Cricetulus griseus: one gene and its partner. The main gene of each other region encodes a partner of the protein of the gene in region 2 in a complex. Links are inferred from orthologs where the notes say so. Each region holds a gene or a part of one and is shown on either strand. Other genes may lie near its edges. The genes, in order: Cetn3 and Nup205.

The links.
Region 1: Nup205 (region 2) and Cetn3 share a complex: the UniProt entries of both Homo sapiens proteins name them as parts of the nuclear pore complex. The link is inferred for Cricetulus griseus from reciprocal best matches to the Homo sapiens genes NUP205 and CETN3.

What each region holds. Positions count from the first base shown.
Region 1 is NC_048595.1:302,231,830-302,235,746, forward strand, and holds the start of Cetn3 (centrin-3), read left to right. Parts: upstream 1-955; 5' UTR 956-1,073; coding exon 1,074-1,090; intron 1,091-2,286; coding exon 2,287-2,422; intron 2,423-3,917. UniProt on the Homo sapiens protein: Plays a fundamental role in microtubule-organizing center structure and function. As a component of the TREX-2 complex, involved in the export of mRNAs to the cytoplasm through the nuclear pores.
Region 2 is NW_023276806.1:192,733,620-192,737,436, forward strand, and holds part of Nup205 (nuclear pore complex protein Nup205), read right to left. Parts: intron 2,374-3,817; coding exon 2,184-2,373; intron 1,089-2,183; coding exon 968-1,088; intron 1-967. UniProt on the Homo sapiens protein: Plays a role in the nuclear pore complex (NPC) assembly and/or maintenance. May anchor NUP62 and other nucleoporins, but not NUP153 and TPR, to the NPC.

The DNA of each region.
Region 1 (3,917 bases), on a different chromosome or scaffold from region 2:
CCAGGCAGTGGTGATGCATACCTTGAATTCCAGCTCGTGGGAGACAGAGACAGGAGGATCTCTGAGTTTGAGGTCAGACTGGTCTAAAGACTTGCAGGATATCCAGGGATGTTAACACTGAGAAACCCTGTCTCAAAAAAGCAACAACAAAAACAAACAAAAATTGTCTTGTTATTTTTCTGTAATTTATTCCTTCTAATTTAATTTTGTCCTTTGTTTCAAACATCTTCATGTAAATGGTTTATTTTCAGATTATCTAATAATTTAATATTTAATAATACCAGGTATTTTATTTGGTGCAAACATTCGGTTAAATGGAAAGTAGACTCCTGACTTTGATGCCATTCAGTTTAGCAGGTGAATGATCCAGGTGAGCTTCAGGAGGCCTGGTGGGTAATGAAGACCATGGGCACATAAACAGTGTTCAGCACTAGAAAATACAGGACAGAAGCAAACAAATACATCTCAAATCGCACACAAGTTGAAAACGGTGGTTTAGGTAGTTTTTCTGTAAATAAACTAACAGACCAACATAATGATGAGCCTACTTTAGTTTGTCTTCGGCCTTGGTGGTGCACATCTTTAATCCCAGCACTTGGGAGGCAGAGGCAGGCGGATCTCTGCGGTTGAGGCCAGCCTGGTCTACAGGGTGAATTCTTGGAATCACTTGGAAACGTTGAAAAGGGAAAACACTTGGTGGCTTAGTAGTTACTGAAATAAGAATGGAGAACAAAGCCCTCAGATTTACGTTTTGACCTTCTGAGTGGCAAGGGCTGGATCCCCAGTGACTGCTTGTGCTGAGCATTTTCCCTTCCCCCCCCAGAGCGCCCGAACCCAGCGTGGTGACTGACACCGGCAGCAGGGCCAAAGGTACTTGATTGACACGAACGGTGACCAATGAGAACAGAGGGCCGGCGAGGCTCCCGCCCCAATGGGCCGACTATTGGCAGTCTTCAGCCAATCGCAACCAGAAATCTCTGTTTGGTGGGTGGTCCCGCGGCCGGGAGGTTGGTGGCTGTTGAGCGGTTCCCGTGGAAAAGTCCTTGGGCGGAACATCTTGGCCGGAAGAGAAAATGAGTTTAGCTTTGAGGTCGGTAACGAGGAGGCCGTGTGTCCATTCCGCAGAGGGCCAGGGCGGGCGCGGAAGGGAAGCCGGGCCGGGCGCGGGTGCAGAGCGCCGAGCATCACGGCGGTGCGGCCCTTTTCTGCGGACTGCGCCGGCGCCGCATCGGGAGCCCAGTCTCGCGAGGTTTCCCTCCTGCGTGTGAGGAACTCGGGCCTGGCGGCCTCCTTCCTTAGGACAAGCGTGGGACAGCCAGGCTCTCTCCGCGGTCGAGGCGCCCTGTGCGTCGGCCGCCCCGGCGGATCTGGTGCCCTTGATTTCCGCCATTCTCGTCCAGGCACCCACCTGGCCCACTGGCTCCCATTGGCTCCTCACCCTGTCCATCTTCACGTGCAGGCGCTGTAGAGTGGGTAGACGCTGATGGCCCGGCGGGGGTGTGGCCCGGCGTGGGTGTGGCGGGCGGCCACCTCTGCTCAGCCCCTGCCAGCCTTCTGCCCTTCAGGTGTAAAGAGCCTACACACTCAGCCGTGTTTCAGGCTTTCAAGCTTCCATTTCTTAAAACCTAGCGGATACACGTGTTGTGCCTCATTTAAACATTGGCAGTCTTTAAGGCAGACGTTTTTGGCCCTAAATCCCTTTTTAGATGTTCTTTTACGCTTCTCCAGAGTTTTTAAATGAAGACGTTTAACCCATTGTTTATAGGTTGAGACTGACAACACTTTTAAACATCACACAGACTCAAATAGGAACATTATATGCTATTATTTTGGTCGTCTAGTATTTGTTTAGGTGCTTTTATATTTTGGCTGGTTAATATGGAATGAAAACACAAAGCACTGTTAGAAATGTATAATCTGAAAGCATTTTGAACTTGCAGTGTTAAAGTGACTCACCTTATAAGCTTTATGGTTAATCTTTGTAGTAATTGTGAGAATTTAATTAGAAGCTGTCCAAGGTAAACCATATATCGTGGTTGTCATTTGTGAAATTTACTTTCACATGGATTTTTATATTTGTTTTCATGCTCTTGGTAGGTAACATGAATAACAACTAATAGTGCTTTGGATTTTGGTATATAAAAGTACATTTGGAGTACAAGACGTTGACTTAGGGACAGCTTCTTTATTCTCCAGACTATTCTGCTTTGTTGAAGTTTAGAAAACCATTCTTTGTTCTAAGTGAGTTGGGTTGAAGTGGACTAAACACATTTTCCTGTGTCACAGAAGTGAGCTTGTAGTAGACAAAACAAAGAGAAAAAAACGAAGAGAGCTCTCTGAAGAACAGAAGCAAGAAATTAAAGATGCCTTTGAGCTCTTTGATACCGACAAAGACCACGCAATAGATTATCATGAATTAAAGGTAACAGTGTATTTGATGACACATCTCTTTTGTTTAAATGAATTGCACTTTTGACTGTTGCTTTAAAGTCTATTTTAAAAACTTGTTTTAGAACCCTGAAGCTGTTTTCAGTATCCACTTACAGGGGCTGCAATAAAATTGAATAAAAAACCCTAATATGGCTTTTAGAAACTCGTATTTAAATGTAAAAGTACATTTGGTGGGAAGTAAGGCTTTTTCATTCACCCAGGTGAAAGAACAGTTCTTAGCTTATTCTTCCCATTTTTGGTTTCTTCTGGAGGACGGAGTAGCTCAGATTCTTTAAAAAAAACATGTATGTGGCATGTGCATGTGCATGTGCCTGTGCAGGCATGTAAACCACATTGTGTAGTGTGTGGAAGGCAGAGTGGGGCTTTGTGTATCTTTCATCACCATCTACCTTACTGCCTGGAGACAGGGCACCTCACTGAATTGGAAGCTCATAGCCTAGGTTGGCTAGAGAGTGAACTCTGGAATCACATCCCGATCTACCCCTCAATGCTGGGGTTACGGACACTTGTAGCCATGCCTGTCTTTATGTGGGTGGTTACAGTTCCAGTTCTGGTCCTCGTGAGTGCAGGACAAGCGCTCTTATCCACTGAGCTATCACTTAAGCACAGCACAGACAATTTTCAGATTGAGAGAGTGTTACCTTTGCTCAGATGTTTCCGAGATTGAAAATGTATCCTTTCAAGCTTTTATTATTTATCTTTATTTTATATTTTTGTTGGACAAGGTTTCTTTATGTAACAGCCCTGGCTGTCCTGGAACTCAGCTTTGTAGACCAGATTGACCGAGAACTCAGATTTGTTTGCCTCTGCCTCCCAAGCGCTGGGATTAAAGGCATGCAACACCACCACCTGGCTCAATCTTTGAATTTTCAAAGATAATACGGACAAACTCTTATTTTTCTTTTCTTTGCTACAAAGGATGTACATTGTCTGATGCCTTATGTTGATACATGCTGAGGGACTATGTCAAATTTAAGGCTTAAAATTACTAGTAAAGGAGCTGGGCGGTTGTGGTGCACACCTTTAATTCCAGCACTTGGGAGGCAGAGGCAGGCGGATCTCTGTGAGTTTGAGACCAGCCTGGTATACAAGTTCCAGGACAGCCTCCAAAGCCACAGAGAAACCCTGTCTCCAAAAACAAAAACAAAAACAAACAAACAAACAAAAAATCCAAAACTACTAGTAAAGATTGGAGAAATTGGTGAGGATCTTATTCAGTCTACTAGCATTTATGAAATCTTTTAGTAGCCTTAATGTTTATAGTAGTTTTAATTCGGCAACATTGTAGGGGGGTTTTAAGCAATCTAAGTATGGGTAGGAACTATGTAGTGAGAGGATAGAATGTCTAACAGTAGTAATAGGCCTGGCCCTTTAGCTTCACTCTAGAGGTCATTCTTTAGCTCATTCCCCATCACACTATCCTGTTGTAGCTGCTGCTACCCATTCCCCAGATAGTGTGAGTTATT
Region 2 (3,817 bases):
ATGTATACAGTGTTCTGCCTACATACCAGAAAAGGGCACCAGGTCTCATTATAGACGGTTGTGAGCCACCATGTGGTTGCTGGGAATTGAACTCAGGGCCTCTAAAAGAGCAGCCAGTGCTCTTAACCTGAGCCATCTCTCCAGCCCAGATTTTAGTTGTTTTTAATTAAAAGAAAATTTAGCTATTTAGATTGCTACACATAAACTTATTCCAAAAATAATTAAAGCAGGCACAGTGCCATGCAGCTGTAATCCAAGCACTCCAGAAGCTGAGGTACGATGATCTAAGTTTGAAGTAAGCCTGCTCTGAATAAAGAAAGCAGACCAAGGGTGATACACACACCTTCAATCTCAGCTCTTGGCAGGCAGAGGCAGACAGGTCTAAGTTGAAGACTTGCCTGGGCTACATACTGAGTTCCAGGCCAATCAAGGTTACTTAATGAGATCCTGCCTCAACAAAAAAAGAAAAGGGAAGGAGAGAAACCAAAAAGAAACCTGTCAGGAAACAGTATGCTCCGATTAGTGGCGCTAACTTGTATTTAAAGCTCAGCATGGTGGGGCTCGCACCTGAAACCCAGCACTTGGGAGGGAGAGGACAAAGAAGGATCATAGCTTCTAATCCAGTGTGGCACACACAGTCAGACCCATCCTCAAAAGGAGAAGAAAGGGCAAATTCCAAAGCCACCTGTGCACTTACAGTGGCTCCCAGCCTTGGTGGTGCCGTGACCCCAAGGACAAAGGGCACTCACGAAGATGTGAGGTCACTCTGATTTGCCAGAATTAGAGCTTACTACTAACACAGAGGCAGGGAACCCAGCATCATGACAAAAGGCCATCAAGTGCATGGCTAGTTCCTCACCTATCCCTTATGAATGCACATACTCTTTTGAGGATTATTCCACAAACAAAAATTCAATACATCCAGGCATTGTGACCACTAGAATGCATCAATAGCAGAATCAGTTACCTGGTCATGTGTGAAATCGCCAACCAGTTTGATCTGTATGTTGGAATTGCAAGAGATACAGCAGAGGATCTTGGCACTTTCAAAGGCTAATTCAGGATTACTGTTCCCATGATAGAGATACCTTCAGAAGAACAATGTGGAACAGTGTGATCAAGCTTGGCTGTTCACTGCTCTCGATACAGAAAATGAAAGGGCGCATGGTTAAGAGCATTTGCAGAGGACCTGGTTTGACTCCCAGCACCTCCATCTGCTTGCAACTGCTTCACACTCCAGCTCTACAGGCTCCAACCTCCACAGGCACAACATGTACGCAGGTGATGCCGCAGTCAGGTAGGCGCACACAAGTACATAAATCAAGTACTGAGAAGGTGGCTAAAGAGGATGGCGCTGGGCTACCTTTATGTCAACCTGACACAAGCCAGAATCATTTTGGAAGAGGAAGAAACCTCAACTAAGAAGATGTCTCCACCAGACTGGGACATGGGCAAGCCAGTGATTTTTCCTGATTGATGGTTTTTGTGGGAGGGCCCAGCTCGCTATGGGCGGTACCACCCCAGGGTGCTAGAAGAAGGGTCCTGGGTGCTAGAAGAAGCTGAATTCTTCCATGGCTTCTGATTAAGGTACTGCCTCCAGATTTTTGCCTTGAGTTCCTCCCTGACTTCATCAGTGATGGGAATGTGAGCTGAGAGCTACAAAATGAAACTCTTCTCAAATTGCTTTTGGTCACATTGTTTTATCACAGCAATGGGAAACATAACTAAAACAAGGGTACAACAAGACTGTGTCCTCACCAAAGGATATATGGACAGAAGCACTTCCACAGAACATCATATGAAGGTGAGGGATTGATTCCACAAGCTACACAACACCAAACCATCAGAATGTTAGCAAATATACATGTGTGTACATCAACACATGTATGTGACTGGGGGTGGCTCTCTATCCCCACACCAGCCCCAAACACTCAGTTTCCCTACAGAAAACAAACATTATTCATTTTGGACATAAAACTTATAGGACATAGAATGACCTATGAAGAGAAAGAAGAAAAGACATGGTAAGACTGAGTGATTAAAATCAAAGGGGTGAAATTAGATAGTATGAAAACAGGCCAAAACCAATAATCTGTGATGTTTTAAAATGCAACAAAAAAGAGAGAGAATCAAAGCTAGAATGCCCCTATCATTCTCTTGCTCTACTGACAAATGGAACTTACCTGGCAATGTTAACCACATTGTCTGCTTTCTTAGTTCTGGGATTAATTCCCTGCAAAAGCTGTTCCAAAGGTGAGACAATGAGAGCCAGCTGACTTTCTCTCAGAAGGTCCATAAAAAGGTTCTCCTTTTGCAGAGTGAGATTGAGAAGTGCAAGGCAATGCTGAACTGCTTTTTCCAGGTGTTTCTTTCCTGTCAACCCAAGTGAAGTTAGAATCCAAATGAATCTTGGAAACATACAGTACTTAAGAGAAAACCACCTAAAAGGCAAGTTTTAATATCAAAAAGCTCTTGTTTTTACAAACTTTTCAACAGCACCTTCACAATAGCTTTCCCTACATAAACGCAATTATTTCTGTGACCCAGGCTATTCAGATGTTAGCGTCTCTCTAGTCTTGCCCTTGATCCTCTAGAGCAGTGGTTCTCAACCTTCCTAACACAGTTCCTCATGTTTTGGTGACCCCCCAACCATAAAACTATTTACAACTTCATAACTGTAATTTTGCTGCTGTCATGAATTGCAATGTAAATATTTGGTATGCAGGATATCTACTACGTGATCCGAAAGGGGTCGTGACTCACAGGTTGAGAACCACCATTTGGCACGATGGCTCTCTGAATGGGGTGATGTGTGTCCAATGAACATCTGACAACACCTGTAAACACTCTTACTTGTCCTAACGAGGAAGTACAACTGGAAGCCAGTAGACAGAGCATACAGCACACAGTACAGCACCCACAACACAGAACCATCAGCTAAATTGTCAACTGTGCTGAGAGTAAGACACTTACTTCAACTAAGATATAACAATTGTAAAAAATAAATAAAGGCGCTTGCAAGCTCAAGAGAGGACCCAGTGGCTAAAAGCACTTGGCTCTTGCAGAGAACCTGGGTTCTGTTCCAGAATCTACATGGTAACTCACAACCAACTGTAACTCCAATTCCAGGGAAGCTGACATCCTCTTCTGGCCTCCACAGGCATAAGGCATACACACAGTACATGTAAATTCACACAGACAAAATGTTCACGCACAGAAAATAAAAATAACCCTTCCAAAACTCTTTACAGGAACTAAAAAGCAGAAAATATATCAAGGATCACTTGCTGGGATAACTCTTTCTACAGTTTCTTACCTATGAATTATATAATTACAGCCCCATGTTTAGAATCTGACTTTCCTATTTCAGACCACTGCCACAAGAAAGACAACACACCACAACAGCATGAAGATGGGCCCTGGGGCCTGACTGCCTAGGATCAAATCCCAGCTCTCAGTTTAACTTTTTTGTACATCATTTTGTTAAATATAAATGAGATCTGCCACATAAGACTTCTCTGCAGATTAAAACATACGCTATGCTTTTAAGAGCCAACTGCATAGAAAGCAGTCAACAAATAGTCGTGCCCATGAAAGTAAGTAACATTTACTGGACACTATGAACCAGACCACAGTACGTGTTTCTGTAGGTATCATGAGTTAAGGATGTTAAAGATGTGAAAGCAATAGAAAGATCACTTTAGTAACCTGCAGAAGACCCTACAATGACCATGAACGAGATGAGATAGTCACAGTGAGAGAGTCAGTACTACAGTCTATTTTCACTCATAGTGACTCACTGAAAACACCACCATTA